Linked DNA regions of Schizosaccharomyces pombe. The protein of the gene in region 2 interacts with the protein of the main gene of each other region in a biochemical or structural test. Each region holds a gene or a part of one and is shown on either strand. Other genes may lie near its edges.

Evidence for each region.
Region 1: the proteins of orc6 (region 2) and orc4 form a complex in vitro, tested with the Schizosaccharomyces pombe proteins (4 studies listed by BioGRID).
Region 3: the proteins of orc6 (region 2) and orc5 form a complex in vitro, tested with the Schizosaccharomyces pombe proteins (3 studies listed by BioGRID).

What each region holds. Positions count from the first base shown.
Region 1 is NC_003423.3:2,023,837-2,027,595, reverse strand, and holds the start of orc4 (origin recognition complex subunit Orc4), read right to left. Parts: upstream 2,209-3,759; 5' UTR 2,054-2,208; coding exon 1-2,053. Other genes in the region: FRG1 family mRNA-processing protein, read right to left, coding at 2,707-2,827, 2,899-3,357, 3,418-3,537, 3,610-3,647. UniProt on the Schizosaccharomyces pombe protein: Component of the origin recognition complex (ORC) that binds origins of replication. It has a role in both chromosomal replication and mating type transcriptional silencing.
Region 2 is NC_003423.3:2,965,484-2,968,909, reverse strand, and holds orc6 (origin recognition complex subunit Orc6), read right to left. Parts: upstream 1,658-3,426; 5' UTR 1,556-1,657; coding exon 1,374-1,555; exon of another isoform or gene 1,317-1,373; intron 1,316-1,316; coding exon 703-1,315; 3' UTR 648-702; downstream 1-647. Other genes in the region: protein ess1, read left to right, coding at 115-588; iss9 (nuclear export factor), read left to right, coding at 2,388-3,035, 3,086-3,215, 3,284-3,426. UniProt on the Schizosaccharomyces pombe protein: Component of the origin recognition complex (ORC) that binds origins of replication. It has a role in both chromosomal replication and mating type transcriptional silencing.
Region 3 is NC_003423.3:952,420-956,178, reverse strand, and holds the start of orc5 (origin recognition complex subunit Orc5), read left to right. Parts: upstream 1-1,861; 5' UTR 1,862-1,902; coding exon 1,903-2,259; exon of another isoform or gene 2,260-2,312; coding exon 2,313-2,387; exon of another isoform or gene 2,388-2,427; coding exon 2,428-3,363; 3' UTR 3,364-3,759. Other genes in the region: Pex16 family peroxisome import protein, read left to right, coding at 1-142, 187-744, 810-922, 965-978. UniProt on the Schizosaccharomyces pombe protein: Component of the origin recognition complex (ORC) that binds origins of replication. It has a role in both chromosomal replication and mating type transcriptional silencing.

The DNA.
Region 1 (3,759 bases), 940 kb from region 2:
CTAAAACAAATATCACGGCTGCAGACGTTGTCATTACGTCTTCTGCAATTCCCAAATCCACGGGATGAGACAATGTAGCTAACAATTTTGTAAGTGTATCAGAAAAGTTCATTTCTGATTTTAATGCTTCATCAGACTCGATAGATTCAAGTTCAATAGATAATTGTCGCGATATTTCACGCAAAGCTAGTTTGTCATCTGTCTGGTACGTACCATTCAATCTTACGACATAACTTTTTTCATTTATTTCCTGAGCTGCGCGTGATAGTATATCATCCACGAGAACTGATTTTCCAGAACCCCGTGGACCGACAATAATGACAGAATTACCTTCGCCAAGTACTATAGTTTGTCGGACCCATTGATAAAGCTTTGTCTGTTCATCCATATGTCCTACAAGAGGGATATGGCTTTTCCCACACAACCTTGCAGCAATCGTAGATTTAATAGTATGTAACTGTGAGTCAATTTCAGAATATGGGACGTCATTAAATACAGACTCAACGACAGGATTAGGATAAAGTTTATGCTGACTCTTTTTAGGAGAAATAATAGCAACTTCGAAATTAGGTTTTTTGGGAGGAGGTGTAAATTGAGATTGTCGAAGAAGGGGTAATCTGTCAGATGAAGGAAGTAGTGGAGAAACTGAATTGGGTGATGAAGATTCGGATTGCGGAGTTGCTGAAGAGGAGTGAACAGAGGAATCGGTTAAACCAGGTGTGATATTACGAATTTCCGCATTCTCTTGACGCTTTTTCGGTGGTCGTCCACGTTTTCTAGGAAGCAACGGAGCTGATTCTCGCTGTTGATTATTAAGGAACTGTTGATTATTAGGAGATGTAATAGCAAAATGTTTAAGTGACAACGCGTCTGAGTCATGAAGCATATCCTCATGTTTTCTAGTAAAGGCGCTTAAAGGTACAATTCCACTAGCTATTTTTGGAGGTCTACCACGCTTTCTTTTAAAAAGGGATTGTGATTTTGAATCTAAAGGCAAGCCACTCGGTCTTTCAAGGCGAGGTCTTCCTCTACCTCGTTTGGGTCTATTTTCATCTATTTTATTTTCAGTACTTGTCCCAAAAAGTATCTTGGGCTTATTTAAAGGAGGTCGTCCACGTTTCCGCTTTACTGGGACGTCTGCAGTAGAAAATAAAGGTTGATCTGTGACTACAACTTCCTTCCGTATTTCAGATTGTGGATTCAATGAATAGAATTCAGAAGAAGATTGTTCATTTTCTGGATTCAACTGTGAATGAGTATGTAGATTTGTACCTGTCGATTCAACCGTTACATTATTCGAAATTGGAGTATTTGCAATCTTCTGTTCAGATCGATGTAAAGGTGGACGCCCGCGCCCTCTTTTCGCAGGTAATACTACCAAAGGAGAAAGCCCATTTTGACTTGAGCTCCCTTCTTCTGGTTTTATTTTTCGAGGTCGTCCACGCCCTCTCTTTGGCTTCAGCTCACTTAAATTGGCATGCCCTTCGGCAAAACCTTCTATGATATTCGGCTCATCTAACCCCATCTGTAGATTATTTTGAGTTGTTCCCTCATCTACAGACGGTTGCACTACTGGGAGAGGATGTAAACGAGGACGTCCTCTACCTCTTTTAGGCTTTAAGGGATCATCTAGTTTTGTGGAAGGAGAAGAACTTTTTATTTTTGGAGGTCTGCCACGCTTCCGTTTGATTATAGGCTCCGATCCTTCGTCAATTGGTTTTGGTGGATATTTTCGAGGTCTTCCACGTCTGCGAGGAGCTTCATTGAGACGCAAAGGTGAAGGTGAAGGCGGAGCTAAAGTCGTAGTTGAAATATTATTATCCTGAAATAAAGTGACAGCGGCAATATCTTGCAATTTTGCTTGAGAGGCAGTTAATCCATTATTTGCATCATCATTCGTAGAATTGGGATACTGCTGATCATCATTACCACTTGATAAATTTTGAACATTTGAGGTCTCATTAGTTATGTTTGTCTGGTATTCATTTTCCTTATTTTCATAGATTGCTTCTGTGTCCAAATTCCCAAGATTTGTGAATGGGGATGAGCTCATATTAAAAACTTGAAGATGCACATCCCTATGGTTTTTATACACTGTAAAAATAATGATCCTCTAAATTTAGCCTTTTTATTAACAAATGCAATTAATTGGTCTCTTTTCTAATTATTTTTTTCAATTTCCTCTTGACTTGACAGATGCAGGGTGTTACTTCGATTCTTGGTAAAGGTGAGCAGTAAGATTGGCGTACAGCCTTAAGGACAGGGCCAGTATAGAAATATATTTTTGAAGCTGAAATAATGACTAGGTAATAGTAGTAATAATCTAAAACTATTTTAATCTTTTTCAAGCGATGCTGATGACTATAATTATTTACTTGTTGCATTTATTTGTAAAACCATACATGTATGAAGGGAATGAATTTCAACAGATTCATTAAATATTCATTTTTTATTAAAAAAAAATAGTTCGTTAAAATTAAGGAATGAAGTAAAACACTTCACTTTTGAAATGAGTAATTACCATAAAGCTTTGTAAATTCATACATAAAAGTAGTGAATAGCTGAAAGGAGTCTCAATAGCTATACAAGGTGCCTAAAATTCAAGAGAAAAAATCAAATCTGTTTTTGCTAGCTTTGGTCCAGCAGGTAATCGTACATTAATCAGTAAGTCAAGATATTAATGGTTTATCAAGAATATCCGAAAAATTAACCATATTTGTCGCTCCTTGAAGATACTCGTAAATCTAGTAATGCTTCATGAAGAACTCCTTCCTTAAACGCTTTTTTGAGGGTCTTTTTTTCATCGGTAGAAAGTTTTCTTCCAGCCCTGTAAAATTACAAAGTTAGAATGACGAAAGTAGAAGGGAAACCCCAATAAAATAGAATAGCATAACTTACATAGATTCTAATTGTCTGGAATGTATGGTTGGGTTGTCAAATAAAGAAGACTTGTTTTTCTTTAGGAAACGAGTTTGTACTCGAATTCTCCATTTGGCTTCAGGAATGACAGTGTCAGAGACACATGCAATGGCCTGATCTTGTTTTTCTCTACTTAATGTTAAATATTTTTTCGTTGATACACTTTTCCAAGCCCAAAATCCTGAGCCCAGATTCTCCGCTATCCATTGTTCCTGTGATCCTACCGCCTCTTGCGTACAATACAAGTCTCCAGACTTACTACATGACATGTATTTACCTAAACAGCTTTTCAATAGTATAGTATTGTTCAGTATGGATAACAAAAACACCTGGCGCGTCAATTCTGGCTCTAGCGAAACTTTGTCGAGGGGAAGAAGAACGCAACTTTCTTTAACTTCTTCAATTCCAAGAGATACACCAGCATCATCGTCTATTTTACTACATAAAGTTGTAAGTAAATTAGAAAAAAAGGTATAAGAATATTGAAGTTAAGCTTACTATATAACCGCTGGACCCTCAAGCTCATTTAGCTCGTTTGCGTCCGTCCAAAAAGGATCGTTTTCAGCTGATTCTAGAGAAGATTGAAGTGATTTTGTGTTCTTTTTTTTCTTCTTTTGACTGATTTCTTGTTAGTGATGAACAATATAATATGAATTACCACATTCGAGCAGTTATTTCATTTTATCTTACATCTTTTTGTCTCCCTTGAAAGTTAATCGCATAGACATTTTACCATCAGTAAATTACCAAGAATTTAAACGATTAAAAATCCTTAAAAATGATAATTGTTAATAATGGATAATGACTAAATATTTATGCGTGGTTTTCGAGGAAAAAGCA
Region 2 (3,426 bases):
CCAAAATACAGATTCGTTTCGAACAACATACCCATACTCTACTATCTTCTTGTTCTTTCAATTTATTACATATAACGGCTTGTTAAGCTGCATTCCTAGAGTTTCTTTCGCAATATGGGAAAATTTGCTCTTAACTTAAACGCTGAGTTGACTGGTGTGAAAAATTTAGCTCCCAAGGATGAAGAATCCTTCTATTATGCTTTTAAAGTCCAATGTAGTGGTTGTCGAGAGATTCACGACAATGCCATTGAAATCTCCCGCAGCGAGACTCACAGCATACCTGGCAGCAAGGGCGAGGCTAATCTCATATGGACGTGCAAAAATTGTCGCAAAACTTGCTCTTTCGTTATAGAGGGGCCATTCTCTCCTTACAATGATTCTCAAGAGACGAAAAAAGTTCTCGTATTGGAATGCAGAGGATGTGAACTAGTCGAATTCATTCCTCAGGGAGAATGGATAGCTAATGGTGCTGAAAGTAATACACTTTTTGACGAAATAGTATTAGAGGATGATTGGTATGACTATGATGAAAATGCCTCTTCAGAAGTGTCTATTACAAATTTGGAGTGGTCTATTAGTAAAGCTTAGAGTCTAATTTAACTTTTTTTTACTCATGTATTTGTATATATCACTAAAGATATCGTGTACCCGTTTATAAATGTTGTTTAATGTACAAAAAAAAATTAATATAGTAAATTGTATTCATGAAGCAGTACCATCTTTTTCAAGCTGGCTTTTGTAATATTGGATTCTTTCTTCAATGCAGGCCTTCCATATTGGATAATTTTGAAGTCGTTTTTCGTAATCTATTTGAATCATGCTTGCTATCCCACTCCAAGGTTTTATCCGTTGCTTTTGAGATTCATAACCCTCTATACCATTTAAAGGGATTTCTTTATACTGCCAACTTTCTGAGAGGACATGCATCCAATACTGAATTTGCAATGCAGAACTTGTATCCTGTAAAACACTCTGTGCCTTTCTTCTCTCGGTGTGATTTATATGAAGTTCGTCTTTTCCAAAAGCTTTTGCCGATACTAGTAAATAAGCTGCGATTATGATGCCTCTTTTGTGTTCGATGCGCATGTCGTTTGTAACAACGGCTTTCACCAATTGTTTAACATAAGGTATAGCAGTTGAGCCCCCTAGTTTGGTACAAAGATAAGTAATGGTTTCCATCAGATCATCTTTAGCTGCTAAGGATTTAGTTAATGGAGATAAGATTTCTTGAAAGTAAGTGAAAAGTTTATAGTATTTCTTTTTTGGAATTGGAGTCGCTAGTAAATTTATTTCCAAATTTAAATCATTGGATAATCTTTTTAAAGAGTCAGAACAAGTTCAAGTAGAGTAATTAAACATCAGAAGTTACTTACAGTTCACAAGCTAAGTGCGCTGCCATATAAGGACGGCATAACTCTTCTGTCGCCTTTAGATTATGTTTATATTTGGACCATTCCAAAAATGACTCTCCTAAACTAATAAGCCGTTCATTATATTCTGTACTTTCAGTGGGAATTATTCTGCGTAAAGACTCTATAATCTGTTGTCGCTCCATGAGAAAATGAATATATTTAATAAAACTTTTATCATTTAATTTTGATTATTAATTATTGAAATCATGTAATCATTCATAATATCATAATAGTGGTGAACGCTTAGTTTGTTTTATGTCAATATGGTGTTTAATACAGAGACATTTAAACGATGTTTTTAATGCTGCTAATACTACCAGCTGTTTCAAAAATATAAAATCTATCTACTTGATGCACCACTGAATTTGGTGTTTATATTCCGTACTTATTTAATATGACTCTTGCTTAATCATTCCGGTTGCTAGTTATCTTAAATAATGTCACCAAAAGCTTAGAATTTAGACCTACATTCTTCAAGATATTACTACAAAACTTTCGAAGCAGTCTTCAAATTTTTTTTTATTTAATAATGAATTACGATTGCTTTATTGGGAGGTAGTGTTTTAGGCTTGATAATTCGGTATATTACTCTCTTTTAGTAGTTTAATCAAGGCTATATGAGGCATACAGAATAAAATATGCGTGAATAGCGTGAGTTAATATTAACTACTTTCCATGTTGGTTTCATAAATTTTAAGCGAACAAACAAGTTTAGGTGGAACCGTTGAATTATTTGATGACTTTTTAAATTTTTAAAGGAAAAAATGATGAACGATCAACTGAATAGTAATAAATTAATCCTTATTGATTGAAAGGTTGGATAATGAAATCGACTTACAACGTTACTGACAGGGTTAAGCTGACGGACTCGCACTTCTCATACAATCTCGGTACTCACCACTTTAGCAATTGAGGAAGTTGAGAAAAGTACTTAACTTTAGCATTAATCATATAGCTCAATGAAAAATATTAAATATGAAAAAAGAACATCATAGCCCTTGGCCGGACTCTTTGAAAGAATTTATTGGTAGATGCATCCAAGACGCTGAGGAAAACAGCCAGCCAGAATTAGAGGATGAAGTAAAATTGCTAATTTCTCGTCAATACGAAATGGGAAACATATGGAATGTTGATTGGTCTTCTATGAATTTAGAATCCCTAAGGAAACTGACAAATGCTCAAAATACAATCATCGAAGATAAAAAAAGAAAGGTTGAGAAGCCTGTTTCTGGAAATCAATTTTCACTTTTAAGTGAAGAAGATGAAGTGGATAAGAAAGAAAAAAGAAGAAGAAGGTTTGAAAATGGTTCTCGTTCTCAAAATAACGCTAAATCTGAAGAGCTAAAAGTCAACCCGGAGAATGGTGCTATTATAGGACGGTCCACAGAATTAGAGAAAAGGTATTTGCGATTAACTTCGGCTCCTGATCCGGATACTGTTCGACCCCTTCCAGTTCTTAAGCAAACTCTCGAACTTTTAAAGAAGAAATGGAAAGAAGAGAAAAACTATGCATATATATGCGATCAATTTAAAAGTTTAAGACAGGATTTAACTGTGCAAAGGATTCAAAATGAGTTTTCTGTATTAGTTTACGAAATACATGCTCGTATAGCTCTTGAAAAGGTACGGTTAATTACTTTAAAATATCATTTCTTCTTCTAACGTTCGACTAGGGTGATGTTGGCGAGTATAACCAATGTCAAACTCAATTATTTCATCTTTACAGTTTTGGTATACCAGGGAATACTAAGGAATTTTTAGCATATCGTATTCTGTATATGCTCTTCACTAAAAATCGATCTGGTAAGTTAATTACGGCTTACTGCTTAAAAGAATATATCTTTTGAATTCAAATTATTAACAATTTATAGAAATGAATAGCCTTCTCGCCAATCTAAAAGAAGAAGACAAAACAAACGCTGCTGTTACACATGCATTAGAAGTCCGTTCGGCGATGGCTACTGGCGATTACTATAAATTTTTCCATCTATATTTAGTCGCTCCCAACATGGGA
Region 3 (3,759 bases), 2.0 Mb from region 2:
TCAGAAAAAAGAATCCTTCCTTCGAAAAAGTATCGGAACTTCTATACTTTCTAAACATATCGACGTTCCCCATCGAGCTTGTAATTTCTAAATACAATCCATCAAGACAGTATGATTCTGTCCTATTCTTGGAATCAGTCAAGTACGGAAATCTACTTTTCGATTAAAATTGTTAACAAATATTAGATTTTTACTTCGGGTTCACATTATGTGGACTACTGGAGGTGATCTTCCGCTCTCTAATCCTGTATTGCAGCGCGATTTCAATGTAAAGACTTTCATTCATCTTCACAAGAAATACTCTAATTCAGGAAGTGCTGTTGTGTTAAAAAACTCCAAGAAAGTTGTTCCCAGACTTAATACAGTCAATTCATCGCTTGACTTCTTGCAAAACCGAACTCCACGTCTTTCTTCAATTCTACCAGATGAGATTTTTACAAAAAGACTTCCCAATCTACGGATTTTTTCTAATTTTATTAAAGTTTGTCGTCCGCTTATCTATATGTTGTTTATGTGGCATTGGAAAAGAAAGCAAAAATCGAGTTCTCTTAAAGTTCGACCTTGGGGGCCTTGGATTGTAGCGTTTGTTTTTGAAGTTATTTCTCAATTAATTGATCGAAGATGTGAATCAGCGACTTCTAGTCGCCAGGGGTTTGGACTAGAACGCCGGACAAATCAAAGTCAGTTTCAGCATTTTGTGGTTTGGGCGTTTACTCAAGGACGATTTTATGATGAGTTTACCAAGTATGTAATTTATTTGAAAGGTTTTTATAACAAAATGTCGTTTTTCAACTCACTAACTAATTTAGACACTGGATAAATCGTTCCCTAAGCTGGGTTAATTCAATACCCGTTTTTGGTAAATATCTACTTCTTTCAGTTGAGGAAAGACAAAAAAGTCTCGAAAATTATATATCCTCTGGTATGATATTGATATTTTTACTGCTACTAACCTTTCATTCAGTTAGAAACTATTAAGGAAGCCTTGATGACCAGAACCTATAGAAATCCTTTTCTTATTTATTTAACTCGGTGTTTTTCTCTCTCTTGATTTCAGTATTGTTAGTATTTCATTTATCTACTACGTCTTTTGTTGCTTTGATGATTAGTCTTCATTCTTCTATAAAACTCAGTACACTTTTATCGAAAATAAAGCAAAAGCTTCAACATTGCATGCTACGAAGATTAGCAACGTTATCCATACATGAGTCAATCAGTATCTGAAATCTGCGGTGCAGATATGTAAGGTTTAAATAAGACTTTAAATTTCACAACTAAAGAATGCTGTGTTAAATTCAGACAAAGGAAAAGATGTAATACACTGAAATTCGGATATTATGATGAGTTCATATCAATTACTAAAAAATGCATTTTGATTTTTTTAATAACATACTTAAAACAGTTAACGGCTAGATTACAAATTAAATCTAAGCAATATTTAATTCTACGTACTCCGCACTAGGCCATTTATTCAAAAATAATTTTGGCTATGCATTAGCGGTGAAGAAGTTAGTATTGAAAGTGAATTAGCTAGGAGAAAGAAAACTTCTAATAACTCAAGCGAAACGAACTTCTGTTCTTTACTACTATTAATCAAATATATTACAAAAAATAAAATTTTATAATTCTATTTTAGAATAACTGTTTAAGCACATTTTGTTACGACAAGGCTTCTCAATAAAATACACCTTGAACCAAGTACAACGCTTATAGTAAACAATCAATTAAGATTTCAATAATTCCAAAGTTTAAATTGTATTTGAAATGTACGAATATTATTCTTCGTTTTCCATTAATTACCTTTCGTTTATTTGTATAAATTAGTCCACTAGTTTTTGCTTCGAGCGATGAATGTTTCACTGCACGACACCATATGCCAAAGCATAAGCATATTGCCATGAAATGCATTTGTATCAGTTGGAAGACGAATTAAAAAAGAATGTCTTTTGCAGGGAAGATCAAATAAAGAAACTTTCATGTTTACTTTTTAATAAGGATTGTCGTGTTCCAAGCATTGTGCTTTACGGAGTTGCTAGTACAGCAAAGACTTTTTTATTGCGGACCGCTTTTGATTTGTCAAAAGAAGAAAATGTTTGGATTAATTTGCAAGACTGTTTTACAGTCGCTCATTTCTGGTACCGGATCCTTATAAAAGTCGGTGTTGACAAAGATATAGCATTAAAAAAAGGCATTAATATCAGTGGATTTATTTATTTACTGGAACAGGCAATGTCCAAAAGGGACTATCATACATTTTTGGTACTTAGTTCCTCTCCTATTTTATTACTCTTAAATACTAATATGAGTTATAGGTGCTGGATCAAATAGATGATTTCGCTGAGGCTTCTACTATTCTATTCTCACAATTAGCTCAGCTTCCGATTGTTGTAAGTAAATATTTACAGACCCACTGATTAACTATTTTAGGCAAACATTCCCAATCTGTCAATCATTTTTGTACTTCATTCTCACCCTGCTCAATACTTGGGAACATTGTCTATTGCAGTGATTTTTTTCCCACAATATACCCAAGCGGAAATATTAGAGATATGCCAAAAAACACCTCCTAATTTAGATTTTTTGGATAGATCTGGCGATAGTGTTTTTGAAGACGAAATTGAGCTCAGCGTCTGGATGCAATATTGCTCGTTTCTTTGGAGTGTTTTTGGAGTGCAGTGCTTAAATGACTATAGGTCTTTTCGTAGTGTTTTGGATAGATATTGGCCAAAGTTCATTCAACCTATAGTTGAAGGAGACATACATCCTGCTGATTATGCTCAACTTCACAAGCTGGCTAAAAACTTTTTAGTGTCAGATGCTACGGTTACTAAAAGACTTCACATAATCAACCCGACTGAAATAAAAAATCTTCTTGATTCCAAATCTATTAACTTGTCGCTCGTTTCCAAATATTTACTCGTTTCTGCATTCCTAGCATCTTATAATCCAAGCCGGTTAGACGCCCAATTTTTTTCATTTTCTAAAACTTCGAAACGACGTGGAAGAAAACGTAAACAAATTCAAGATGAAGGGGTTTTATTTTCCAAAATACCAAGAACCGCTGGGAGCAAAGGCCGGTCTGCTGTAAAAATATCCCAACTTACATTAGGACCTAAACCTTTTGAAGTAGAAAGGTTGATTGCTATTTATTATGCCATTTCTTCCCCGGTAGAGAAAGTTCTGACCGCTGATGTTTTTGTTCAAATAGCTACACTCGCCTCCTTAAAAATGATACTTTCGGCTTCCAAAGGTGTGCTTCGCTCTTTGGATAGCCCTAGATACATTGTCAATGTCTCTCGCGAATATGTATTAAAAATCGCAGATTCACTTTCGTTTCCTCTCGATAGTTATTTGGCGGGATAGCTTAGTATTATGGTTTATTTTATTGCATTACTGAAATTTTGAATATCGTAGTTCTGTCACAATTCATTAATTTATACAGAACTATATGAACATCCATTCTATCTCCCCATAACATGTTATTTTACTGTTTAAAGGGCCCAAAACTTAAAAAACATATTTTTTTTTGTTACTTCTGGAAAATAAAAGAAAATGTACACTACAAACAATTCGATTACGCCTCTGTGATTCTGTGTAAACTGTTACGTATTTAACATTATGGAAGTTGGCAAAGCTGTAAAAAGCAAAAACTAGCGCCGAAAACACTCTTGACAAAAAAATAAAGTAATGTGCTGCTAAGATGGATACATAATATATATCAAGAGGCAAAGTTTCAATCATAACTCTGATATAAAAGTT